Macaca fascicularis: one gene and its partners. The protein of the gene in region 2 purifies or fractionates together with the protein of the main gene of each other region. This does not show direct contact. Links are inferred from orthologs where the notes say so. Each region holds a gene or a part of one and is shown on either strand. Other genes may lie near its edges. The genes, in order: ACSL4, FBXO10 and PDE6D.

The links.
Region 1: the proteins of FBXO10 (region 2) and ACSL4 purify together in Homo sapiens (affinity purification with western blotting; 3 studies listed by BioGRID, with this or other methods). This does not show direct contact. The link is inferred for Macaca fascicularis from reciprocal best matches to the Homo sapiens genes FBXO10 and ACSL4.
Region 3: the proteins of FBXO10 (region 2) and PDE6D purify together in Homo sapiens (affinity purification with mass spectrometry; 3 studies listed by BioGRID and IntAct, with this or other methods). This does not show direct contact. The link is inferred for Macaca fascicularis from reciprocal best matches to the Homo sapiens genes FBXO10 and PDE6D.

What each region holds. Positions count from the first base shown.
Region 1 is NC_088395.1:116,219,263-116,222,913, forward strand, and holds part of ACSL4 (long-chain-fatty-acid--CoA ligase 4), read right to left. Parts: intron 2,907-3,651; coding exon 2,792-2,906; intron 822-2,791; coding exon 664-821; intron 1-663. UniProt on the Homo sapiens protein: Catalyzes the conversion of long-chain fatty acids to their active form acyl-CoA for both synthesis of cellular lipids, and degradation via beta-oxidation. Preferentially activates arachidonate and eicosapentaenoate as substrates.
Region 2 is NC_088389.1:61,783,662-61,787,312, reverse strand, and holds part of FBXO10 (F-box only protein 10), read right to left. Parts: intron 3,412-3,651; 5' UTR 3,406-3,411; coding exon 2,821-3,405; intron 1-2,820. UniProt on the Homo sapiens protein: Substrate-recognition component of the SCF (SKP1-CUL1-F-box protein)-type E3 ubiquitin ligase complex. Mediates the ubiquitination and degradation of BCL2, an antiapoptotic protein, thereby playing a role in apoptosis by controlling the stability of BCL2.
Region 3 is NC_088386.1:127,707,124-127,710,874, reverse strand, and holds the start of PDE6D (retinal rod rhodopsin-sensitive cGMP 3',5'-cyclic phosphodiesterase subunit delta), read left to right. Parts: upstream 1-1,280; 5' UTR 1,281-1,445; coding exon 1,446-1,495; exon of another isoform or gene 1,496-2,379; coding exon of another isoform or gene 2,380-2,409; intron 2,410-3,751. UniProt on the Homo sapiens protein: Promotes the release of prenylated target proteins from cellular membranes. Modulates the activity of prenylated or palmitoylated Ras family members by regulating their subcellular location.

The DNA of each region.
Region 1 (3,651 bases), on a different chromosome or scaffold from region 2:
CTAATTAACCCTTAAGAATAAGCTTAAGTGACATCTCTTTCATGTCCTCCCAAGTAGGTTAGGCACCCCCATCTGTGGTACCATGATTCTCCGTTCATCTCTCTATTGCTGTTAAGATTGTTGTCTCTCTCATGTGCCGCTCTCACCTGATAATGAACTACATGAGAGCAAGAAATGAGTCTTACTACTTTCTGTATTCCTAGTGTGTAACACAATTCCTGGCATATACTATATAAGCAGATTTTCTCCAATTGGTTATTAACGTACCATCTGAGACAGTCCATTTACAGAGCCAAAGTATACACACAAAGCATAATCATGGTTATAACACTATTTACTAAACTTAGAGTTATTAATTTCTGCTTTGCAGACACAAAGTAGATTTATATAACAGATCTACCCAAAGATGGACCATTCCAAACACAGGCTAGATGACCACTTTGGGAAAGATGTTGAAACATGCAATAAAGAACTAGATGGGTTATTTTACCATACGACACTGAAGGATCCTTCCAACATGGAAATCCATTATACATATTTAAGAAACAGGTTTCTTAAAATCCTGTATTTTATTATTAAAGCGAACATCTTGAAGAGCCTAATGCAAAAGACATCATTAGATGACTTTTAGGGACTACACCAGTCTAGCAATTTCTTACTTACTGGCATTTGCAGCTTCTCGAATTTCTTTCAGTATTTCAGCTTCCATAGCAGGATTATTGCAGATATCAACCCAAGTTCCTTCTACCCCTTTCTGTTGTGCCAAGAGTGTCAACCTTTTCTGATTAGGAACCACAAAACTGATCACATAGGACTGGTCACTAAAAAAATAGAAAATAAAATAGAAATGAAAGCATTGAGAAAAGTTATTCATAAATTAGTCAATGAAACAGTACAGTACAGATAAAGTTTCATTAGGAAACAATAAAACCCATAGTACCAGGATAAAGACAGACATACAGACCAATGGAATAGAGAAAATAGAAGTAAACCCTTGTATCTATGGAGAAATGATCTTCGACAAGGGTGTTAAGACCACTCAATGAGGAAAGGACAGTCTCGTCAACAAATGGTACTGGGAAAACTGGATATCCACATGCAATGAATGAAGGTGAACCTTTACCTTACAACATATACAAAAATTAGCTCAAAATGGATCAAAAATCTAAACATTGAAGAGCTATTAAGTTGGTGAAAAAGTAATTGACATTTAATGGCAAAAACTGAAATTATTTTGCACCAATCTAATAAAACTATAAAACTGCTAGGAAAAAAAAAACACAAGAAACACTTTATGAGAATAGATTTGGCAATATTTCTTGGATGTGACACCAAAAGCAAAGGCAACAAAAGCAAAAACAGATAACTGGGACTGCATCAAAATTAAAAACTTGTGTGTATCAAAAGACTCAATCAGCAGAGTAAAAAGACAATCTATGGAATAGAAAAAAAGATTTGCAAATCATATATCTGATAAGGGGTTAATAAACAGAATATATAATTTCCATAATTCAATAACAAAAAAACAAACAGCTCAATTAAATAATGAACAAAGAACTTGAATAGACATTTCTCCAGAGATAATATATGAATGGCCAACAATCACAGGAAAAGGTGCTCAGTGGCACTAATCATTAGGAAAATGCAAATCAAAACCAAAACAAAATATCCCCTCACATCCATGAGGATGACTACTATATAAAACAAACAAGTGCTAATGAAGAAGTGGAGGAACTAGAATGTTTGTGTACTGTTGCAGGAATGTAAAAATGGTGCTGTTGCTATGGAAAACAGTATTGCTCTTCCTTAAAAAATTAAAAATAGAACTGTCATATGATCCAGCAATTCCACATCTAGGTATCTATCCACATAATTGAAAGCAGGATCTCAAAGAGATATTTGCATACCCATTTTCCTAGAAGCATTACTCACAACAGCCAAGAGGGGGTAGCAACCAAAATGTGCACTGACAATGAATATATAAACAAAATACATTAATGGATACAATGGAATATTGTTAAGCCTTTAAAATGAAGGAAATTCTGACATGTACTATAATATGGATAATCCTTGAGGACATTATACTAAGGGAATTAAGCCAATCACTGTATCATTCTACTTATGTGAGATTTCTAGAGAAGTCATATTCATAGAAACAGAAAGTAGAATGGTGGTTCCCAGGGGAAGGAGGGAGGAGGAATGGGAGTTGTTGTTTAATGGGTATAGAGTTTCCATTTTACAAGAAAAAAAGGTCTGGAGATTGGCTGCACGCCAATGTAAATATACACAACACTACTGAACTGTACATTTAGAAACTGTTAAGATGGTAAATCTTATGCTATATGCTTTTTACCACAATTACAATTTTTAAAAAAGAATAAAATCCATAAAAATAAGACATATCAACATATAAAGAAAATGGCTCAGTCTCAGGCTTTTGATTTAGAAAAACTTGGGTTCAAAATCCATCTCAACATGTAGTAGTTGTGTTACTTTTTTTGGCAAAATTACTTATGCTAAGTCTCAGTTGTCACGGATGTTAAACGAAATAACTTGTCGCATAGCTAAGTATTTAGCAAGATGCAGGTGTCCAAAAACATAGTTAACATGTCTGAGTTATCTCAAATGATCTTCGAGCTGTTGATTCAATAACTTTCATAAATGTACAATTCCCCAGATCTGATGAAAATTCTAAGAGGAGTCTATGTTACCCTTATGATAATACGCAATCACATTATTTTCTAAATATCTTTTGACTTATGAAACAAAAAATACAACTTTGGAAAGTTACCTTTTGGCAAAAGCACAGATGTTGTCAATAAGTGGACAATTCTTCAGTGCAGCTTCTACTTTCCCAAGAGATACATATTCTCCTGCTTGTAACTTCACTAGATCTTTCTTACGATCTGTAAGTCATAAAGAATGTTAAGTCAGCCATAGTTTGTTTTACTAAGGTATATGCAATTCTGACTGTCTTCTTTGAATATCATTGCCTTAATTGTTATTTACAAAACTACTTCTTCTAAAATTATTACTAGGTTGGTGCAAAAGTAATTGTGGTTTTTGCCATTACTTTTAAAATGGCAAAAACTGCATATATATAATGCTTGCCCATACACACCAGTTAAAAAGAAAATGCCTAGTTAAATAAGTATTGGCTAAAAGTTACACCTTATACCCAAAGCTTTAGCATCTTATTATAATCTTAAATATTATAATCAATTTAATAGAAGGAACTAGGACTTTGGAACATTCGATTTTAATGGTAACTCTGCCTGATACTAGCTAAGTGATCCTGGGCATGTCAGTTAACCTCCTAATCCTCAAGTTTTATCAGAATAATGATGCCTACCTCATACAGATATATCCCACAATGTCTGGCATATAGAACACATTTAACACATGTTAATTCTCCTTTTCCACTTTTGACATTATCTTGTTAAAATGACAGTTCTCTAAGAAAGTGCTAGTACAGGATGGCACAGCTTGAATAATCATCACATGGCCTTGGAACCTTCGTATGAGTGCTGATTTGCCTACCCATAGCCTGGGAACCCAGTCTACAGAAATAACCTTTGATTCCAGTGCAATTAAGGAACAAGGGGAAAATAAGCTTATTGTTTCTCAACTGAACCACGGTTCCTAGGAATT
Region 2 (3,651 bases):
GAGCGAGACTCAGTGTCAAAAAAAAAAAAAAAAAAGCATGGGCTCTGGGGGTTGACTGCAAGTGTTATCTTGGACAAATGACTTCACCTCTTTAAGCCTCAGTTTCCTTGTCTGCAGCATGGGGCTCACTAGTTCACAAAGCACCATGCTAGGCACAAACTTGGCACTCAGTCAAAGTCAGTTATTATCATCTGGGGTCAGGGACACAAGGAGCAGAGTGTCCTCAAGAGTCTGGGGTGGAGATGGGGCAGTGCTGAACTCTCCTGCCTAATTCATTTGGCCCCCTTGGCTCTCTGGGCCCGACTGAGAAGCAGTCTTACTGAGGCCCATTCACTCTCTATTCCTGAAAAAGACCTGTTTCTGGATTTCACACGTATTTCATCAGATGTATTTGAACCATCAAATGAGGGACTATCTCATGATTCTATTTAATAATCCAGACGTACTTACCCCTTGAACAATTTTTAAAATTCTCTAGCAGTGATCTTTGATAGATTGTCCCAGAATTTAAGCCCCCTTAACTTCTCTAAGTTCTTCCTTATGGCTAACCTAATTTTTCCTTGCTATTTAAATCCATTTTCTCTCTAAAGATAAAAGCCAGCTCTCTGGAGATGCAGAGCCACTGCTAAGGTTCTCCTTGGAAGTCACTGAAAACTGCTGTGAAATCGCCTTGGCCTTTGCATTTTTCAGGCAAGACCATCCCAGGCCCCCGTGCCTGCTTTAGTTGAAAAACAATCACGGACTGAATACTAACTAACGTATGTTATATGCTAAGCACTAAGCCAGAGGGCAGGCTACGAACAAGTCTAATGCCAGGCCTCATCCCTTGAGGATCTATGGTTGTACTTCTGAGGGAGAAGTAGAGGCTGAAATCAAAATATTACTCTAAGAATAAATGCATTACAAAATGTGAAGGGTCTGGAACATTGTTTCTTTCCAGAAACAAACTCTCCTTCTGGGCCTGCAGAGCAGCACCGGGAAGTTCATCAGTTCTTCTGAAATACTCTAGGGCTAAAACATAGGCTTTTAAGCTTTTAGGTAACATAGCATGATGTAATTTTATAAGCATTTAGATGAGAAGGCCTGAATTTGGGATCTAACTTCCCTAATTACCCACTTGAGAAAGTTACTTACCATCTCTGAGCTTCAGTAGCCCTCATTTGCAAAATAGGGATACCACATCTACTTCATCTACACACGTTTGCTGTGGGGGTCCAATGAGGTGACAGATGGAAAGTCACTTAGATTATGAATAGGCTTTGGATCTTACTAAGTCTGAGACCTTGATATGACAATTTGCTGAGCCTCCGTTTCCTCATCTATAAAATCAGATGACATTACCTATCTCATAGACATGTGGAGAGGAACCCATGAGATAATGGCTATAAGGCATATGGCATGCATATGACATATGTCTGTTATAAATGACCAGTGGTATAAGGATCATTACAAACATGAGAGACAATTGTTATTGGTAATAATGACAATATACTTAAAAAAATCTTTTATATATATATACACACACACATATATATATACATATATATAGTTTTTTTTTTTTTTTTTTGAGACGGAGTCTTGCTCTGTCACCCAGGCTGGAGTGCAGTGGCCAGTGACTCAGCTCACTGCAAGCTCTGCCTCCCGGGTTCACACCATTCTCCTGCCTCAACCTCCAGAGTAGCTGGGACTACAGTCGCCCGCCACCACACCAGGCTAATTGTTTTTTTGTATTTTTAGTAGAGACGGGTTTCACCGTGTTAGCCAGGATGGTCTCCATCTCCTGACCTCGTGATCCACCCATCTCGGCCTCCCAAAGTGCTGGGATTACAGGCTTGAGCTACCGCGCCTGGCCGTTTTTTTTTTTGAGACGAAGTCTCACTCTTGTTCCCCAGGCTGGAGCGTGATGGCAGGATCTCAGCTCACTGCAACCTCCGCCTCCCGGGTTCAAGTGATTCTCCTGCGTTACTCTCCTGCTGCCACCATGCCCTGCTAATTTTGTATTTTTAGTAGAGACAGGGTTTCACCATGTTGGTCTCAAACTCCTGACCTCAGGTGATCCACCTGCCTTGGCCTCCCAAAGTGCTGAGATTACAGGTGTGAGCCACTGCGCCCGGCCAAAAATCTTTTATTTTTTATGAGCAGGCAGGAAAGCGATGTAATTGACTGCCTACATAATCCAAGTTTCTAGGCAATGTATAAGCTATAGACTGTTCTGCCAGGAACTACCAACACCTGGATACCTGCTTTACTTTGAACCATCTTCTGGCTCTGCGTTCACAGAAGGAATGTGTTGGACAAATATTTCCTGACCTTCTCACCATCGCCCTTGAGAATTAGCAAATCATGGTAAAAGCCTGCCCTCCTTTGATCCCATACAGGGTGTGGGGTTCATGTGCTGAAGGTGACTAGTCCTGTATAGCCTTTTTCCTCTGTGGCTCTCGCTCGGGCTTGCCTCCATGAGCAGCTAATGTGCTCTCTGCTTCCTGTCACTAAGTGGCATGCTCCCAGAACCCGGCTTTCCCGCCTAGCTGCTCCACTGGTGGCTCCAGTTGGTCCAGTTGGAAAGGGAAGAGGTGCAAAAGAATTTTGGTTCCAAGCCCAAGCCATTTTTAAATACAGCTTTACCAGGAATAAAGCAGAATTCTGAGCTCTACTGATCACTGTGCCTGTTTCTCAACTGGTTCAGCACTCAGAGGAGTAGGAGTATAATAATAACTCCTAACTTTCAATTCCAACCAAAAAAGGGATTAAAAACCCAGAAAAGAGGCCAAGCCCCTGGGGTCAGGACTAGAAAGGCCGTCTATTGATGTGGACACCCACCTTATACATGATGGGTGAGAACCAGGCTGGCATGAAGACGAGGTTGCACAGGCGTGTGGTTGAGCAGTGCTGATCAATGCTGGCCAGCAGGGCCACTTCACCCAACTTCCCCTGCCCTACAATCTCCACGGGCACCTTCAGGATGATTTCACCTTGCTCTTCGTACACACCTGGGAAGAGCACAATTCGGTCATACAGGCTGGCCATGGCCAAGGCACTGCCCAGGCTGTCAAACTCATGGCCTGGCCCAACACTCAGGGTACGTCGTTCCCTCCTCCGGCGGAACAGAGAAAAGCAGACGGAAGACTCCAAGTCCAAGGCATTCTTGGTCCATGTCTTGGAGGCAAGGTAATGCTGCTTGAAGGCTTCTCTCCAAGACTCAGGCTCCACATCTGGCTGGTTGGGCCAATTGGGATGGCGGCACTCGGTGCAACCCAGACATAGCTGCCGCCAGCGGGTGCTGTCGAGACTGAGGATCAGTTCATACCAGGCCCTGCATACCAGGCTGCAGCGGCCCAGGTCGGGAAGGTGCAAGTAGGCTAAGATCATGCGCCACAGCTCCAAGGGCAGGCCACCAGCCTCCATGGTCACCTAGGAGACAGACACAAAACAAAAGAGATCTCTGTCTACCCTACTTACCAGTCCCCCTTTTAAATTTTTTTTTTTTAAGATGGAGTTTCACTCTTGTTGCCCAGGCTGGAGTGTAGTGGCACGATCTCGGCCTCACCACAACCTCCACCTCCCAGATTCAAGCGATTCTCCTGCCTCAGCCTCCCAAGTAGCTGGGGTTACAGGCATGCACTACCACACCTGGCTAATTTTGTATTTTTA
Region 3 (3,751 bases), on a different chromosome or scaffold from region 2:
TATTGAATTACATGGAAGAAAAAATTGGGTGAGTTCCCAGATGGGTGAAAGAGGGGACAGGCAGAGGAAGGAAGGCCAAGAGAAGGACAGAGGAGGTTTCCAAGGAAACCGTGGCTCACACTGCAATTTTACCTACTTCCTGAAATCACATTAAATGTCACCTTGAGTGGCAAAAAACAAAACACCAAGTCCTACCTAGGCTGAAAAAAAATATCACACTCCCTCACTTGAAAGAAATCCACCAAATAAATGCTACCTAATTCTGGGTGTTTCAACACTGGATAGGAAAACTGTTCAAGGAGAATAATTCACATTGCTATGCTGCTAAAAATATCACCTCCTTAGTGTGGTGCAAAGAGTCCAGACTGCAAGTCAGCCGACTTAGGGCTGAATTCTAACTCTGCCCGAATTTGCTGTGATCTGTGGCCAATCCCTTCGCCTCTCTGGGCCTCAATTTCCTCATACGTAACAACGGGGTAGATTAGCAAAGTCCCTTTATGTTTTGATATTCTGAGTATACAATCCATAGCTCTCCCGGTCCAAAGCAGGAATACAGCAAAACCCCCTGAAAAACACGTAAAAGGCGCCTCAGACCAACAAGCACGATTTGAAGAAGTCATTTTGTTATCTTTCACGGTTTAATCAGTGTTTTTGTTTGTTGTTAGCAGCCTTACCATGATTTGCAGAAGATGTCTGAGTTCCATGTAAACAGAAGTTAACTCTCTGCGGGCTGTCATCTTCTTTTGACGGTGAGAAGGGTCTTCCCGCTGGGTTTCAAGTCTCGGGATTCCGAAACCACCAACTCAGCGGGCGGGTTTGTGAATTTGCGCACACTGCGCGGCACACTGGAGTCTAAGTTACAGAGGAACCGAGTGCAGAGGATGCTGGGATTTGTAGTCTCCGGACCTCTTTGTGGTGCGCTGGGATCTGTAGTCCCCCGAGTGCGCCGCTGGAATGCTGGGAAATGTAGTCTCTGTCGCGTAGCACAGTGCAACCAGCTGCCGTCTCGAATGGCTAGTGTGCTCAGCTGCGGGAGCAGGTCCCTAAAGCCTCTGCAGATCCGAAGCCAACACTCCGCTGGGACAAACTCTAGGCAATAACACCAGATGAATATTGTGTCCTATGGGACTTCCCGGGGAGGGCCCTTCCCATTGACGTTAACAGTCCCCCTGCGAAGGCGCAGCGCGCTCCTACTGGCTGGTTGGGATGCCAATCGCCAAAGCTGGCTTTCCATTGGTTCCAGGGGGGCACTGCGAGGCTAGGGGGAAGGAGAAGGGATCAGGAGCGGGAGCTGAGGGGAGAGAGAGGCCGGTCCTGGTCTGGCCGCTGCGGCTGCTCGCCCGAGGTCTCCAAGCCGGGCTGCGGCTCCATCCTCGGCTCCTGGGCACCGTCTGCGAGGCTCCGCCGACCAGAGTGAGAAAGCCGCGGGCGGCGAGCGCCGCATCATGTCAGCCAAGGACGAGCGGGCCAGGGAGATCCTGAGGGGCTTCAAACTGTATCCGCCCGGGAGCGGGGCGGGGCCGGGAGGACTTGGGAGGCGGCCGCTCACTGAGGAGACTGGCTGGGGGCGGGGGCCGCGCCAGGTGGGCCCCGCGGAAGAAGGGCTGCGGGAGAGGAGAGGAAAGGAAAAGCGTGCCGTGCACCCGGCGGGACCAGGCGCGAGAAGCGCCCCCAGGGGCGTCCTGAGGGAGGAAGGGGACGTTGACGGGAGCCCCAGGGGGTGGCGGGTGGGGACGGAAGAGCTTGGGGTACTGGGCTGCGAGAGGTGCCGGGCGTCGCAAACGCTGTCGGAGAGACCGGCTGGGTTCCAATCCCCGGCCGGGACCCAGAGGCCGGGAGGGGGCTGCGGCCCGCAGGGAAGGGCTGAGGGGGCGCGGTGGGCTGATCTTAAAGTCTAGAAGCCTCTTTGGCTATAAGCCTACCCGAGGAGCGGGGAACAGTGACTTGGAGCGGGCGACCTTGTGTGGGACAAATACCAGTGCTTTTAAAACTCTCTCAGGGCCCCCACCGCACCGCACCCCACCCCCGTCTGGTTTCCACAACTTCTCTTCCAAACTTGTGGCTTCTTCCAGGGCTAGAGTAGTTGGGGGAGGTGGGGAAAGAGAAGTCCAAGATCAACCTCGTCTTAACACTCTTGGTCTTCTGAGGCATTGGTCACTGCTTCCCCCTCAGCGCCTCAGTTTCCTTTCCAGCAACACGAGGACCATAGGCTTAGGTGTGGGGTGCCTCGCGCTGGGGCTCCTAGCCGAGGTGTCTTTGCTCGCTCCTGTTGGTGCGGTTAATGCCTAGCTGTGGTGGAGCTGTCCAGCAATAGTGTGATGTCGCCGGGGCCACGGTAGGATAGTGGGGTAGAGAAATCATTGCCTCGGGCCTGTTGTGATGCCGCTCTTGCAACCTCTCCTTAATGTGGTAAGGAAGCTTTGTGTTTTCGTGGAGTGTGTTAGTCTGTCACCATATGATGCAGATGAAAAAATGCAAACTTGTATATTCAAATTTTCCATTCTCCTGCCGGCTTTAATCTCTGCATACATCCTGTCTGTAATCTATAGTACGGAACGTTCTTAAATTGCTCCCTCAGTGAAAAGGTAGTCACCGCTTTAGGACTCCTCCCTTGGAGGTTTAGTAAAGCACTGTTTTCTTGATATTCTGTTGTGTTTTCACAATGTCCATGTCACCCTTGCAAAATTTAATTGCTTTGCTATAATCAGAAACCAAGTTGGTAATACATTTTAGACCACAGTGCAAAAAGGAAGTTTTGGATGTACAAGTGAGATTTTTCAAGTGAAAATTGATCTAGGCTTTTAAAAAAACCTAAAGGCTGTATCACCTTTGCATACTACCATTCAGGATAAAGTTTCAGTACTTTCATGTAGTGATTTAGTAGCAGCCTCTTTAGAGCTCCATGTGCCTTTCTGTGTTTCTCTCCATAATGGATCATATAGGTATATAGGGATGACTGAAGTGCTGGAAAAGCTATTACATGAATTTTATTTTTCCCTCAAGTAATTTGTATTATTACTTAACATATAACAATGTAATAATATTGTTACTTAACATGCTGTGTAAGCAGTAAACCAGAAACTATGGAGAACTGAGAGATTTCAGAAGCAACGTTTTCATCTGATTGGAAATACCATATTGCTGAAAAGAAGAAATACCTTTTTAATGGCTTTTGAACAAAGCAGAAAAGTTTGAGCTTCTCACCTTCAGTCTTGGCTCTTGAACCTGTTAAGAAAGAGGATAAGAGACAAATACGGAAAAGAGTTTCAGAAAGCAGAATCTGTGTCAGCCCACTAGAAGGAAAAGCGAATCAACCAATTCAGTGATGTTAGTGCATCCAGAAACAGGCTTTCGGGGAAAGCTTGACCTGAGCTGATTAAATCCTGAAGCACCAGGGAAGCAGCCACATCAAAAAGTTAGCATGAGAGCAGTGGCGTGCTCATCCTCTGGTAGCCTTTATTGGGCATTTGTGGAGTAAGAGGGAAAAGAAAAGCAGGAATGTTAAGATATGCTACTACCTTCAGGAAAAAGTAAAATTAATGTTTTAGTAAGAAACTGACTATTGTCTACCTTTTATTGGGTAAATAGATTTTCCGAACTTTCTTTCAGAGTATCTGTTTCTGTAAGAATAGTTTATCACTACAAAAAGAGCACCATTATGTTCTCCCACCAACAGTGTTGATAGTACTCAGTTTTCCACGTTGACTAGGTCGGTCTTTTTTGTTTGCCAGTTTAGATAACAAATGATATA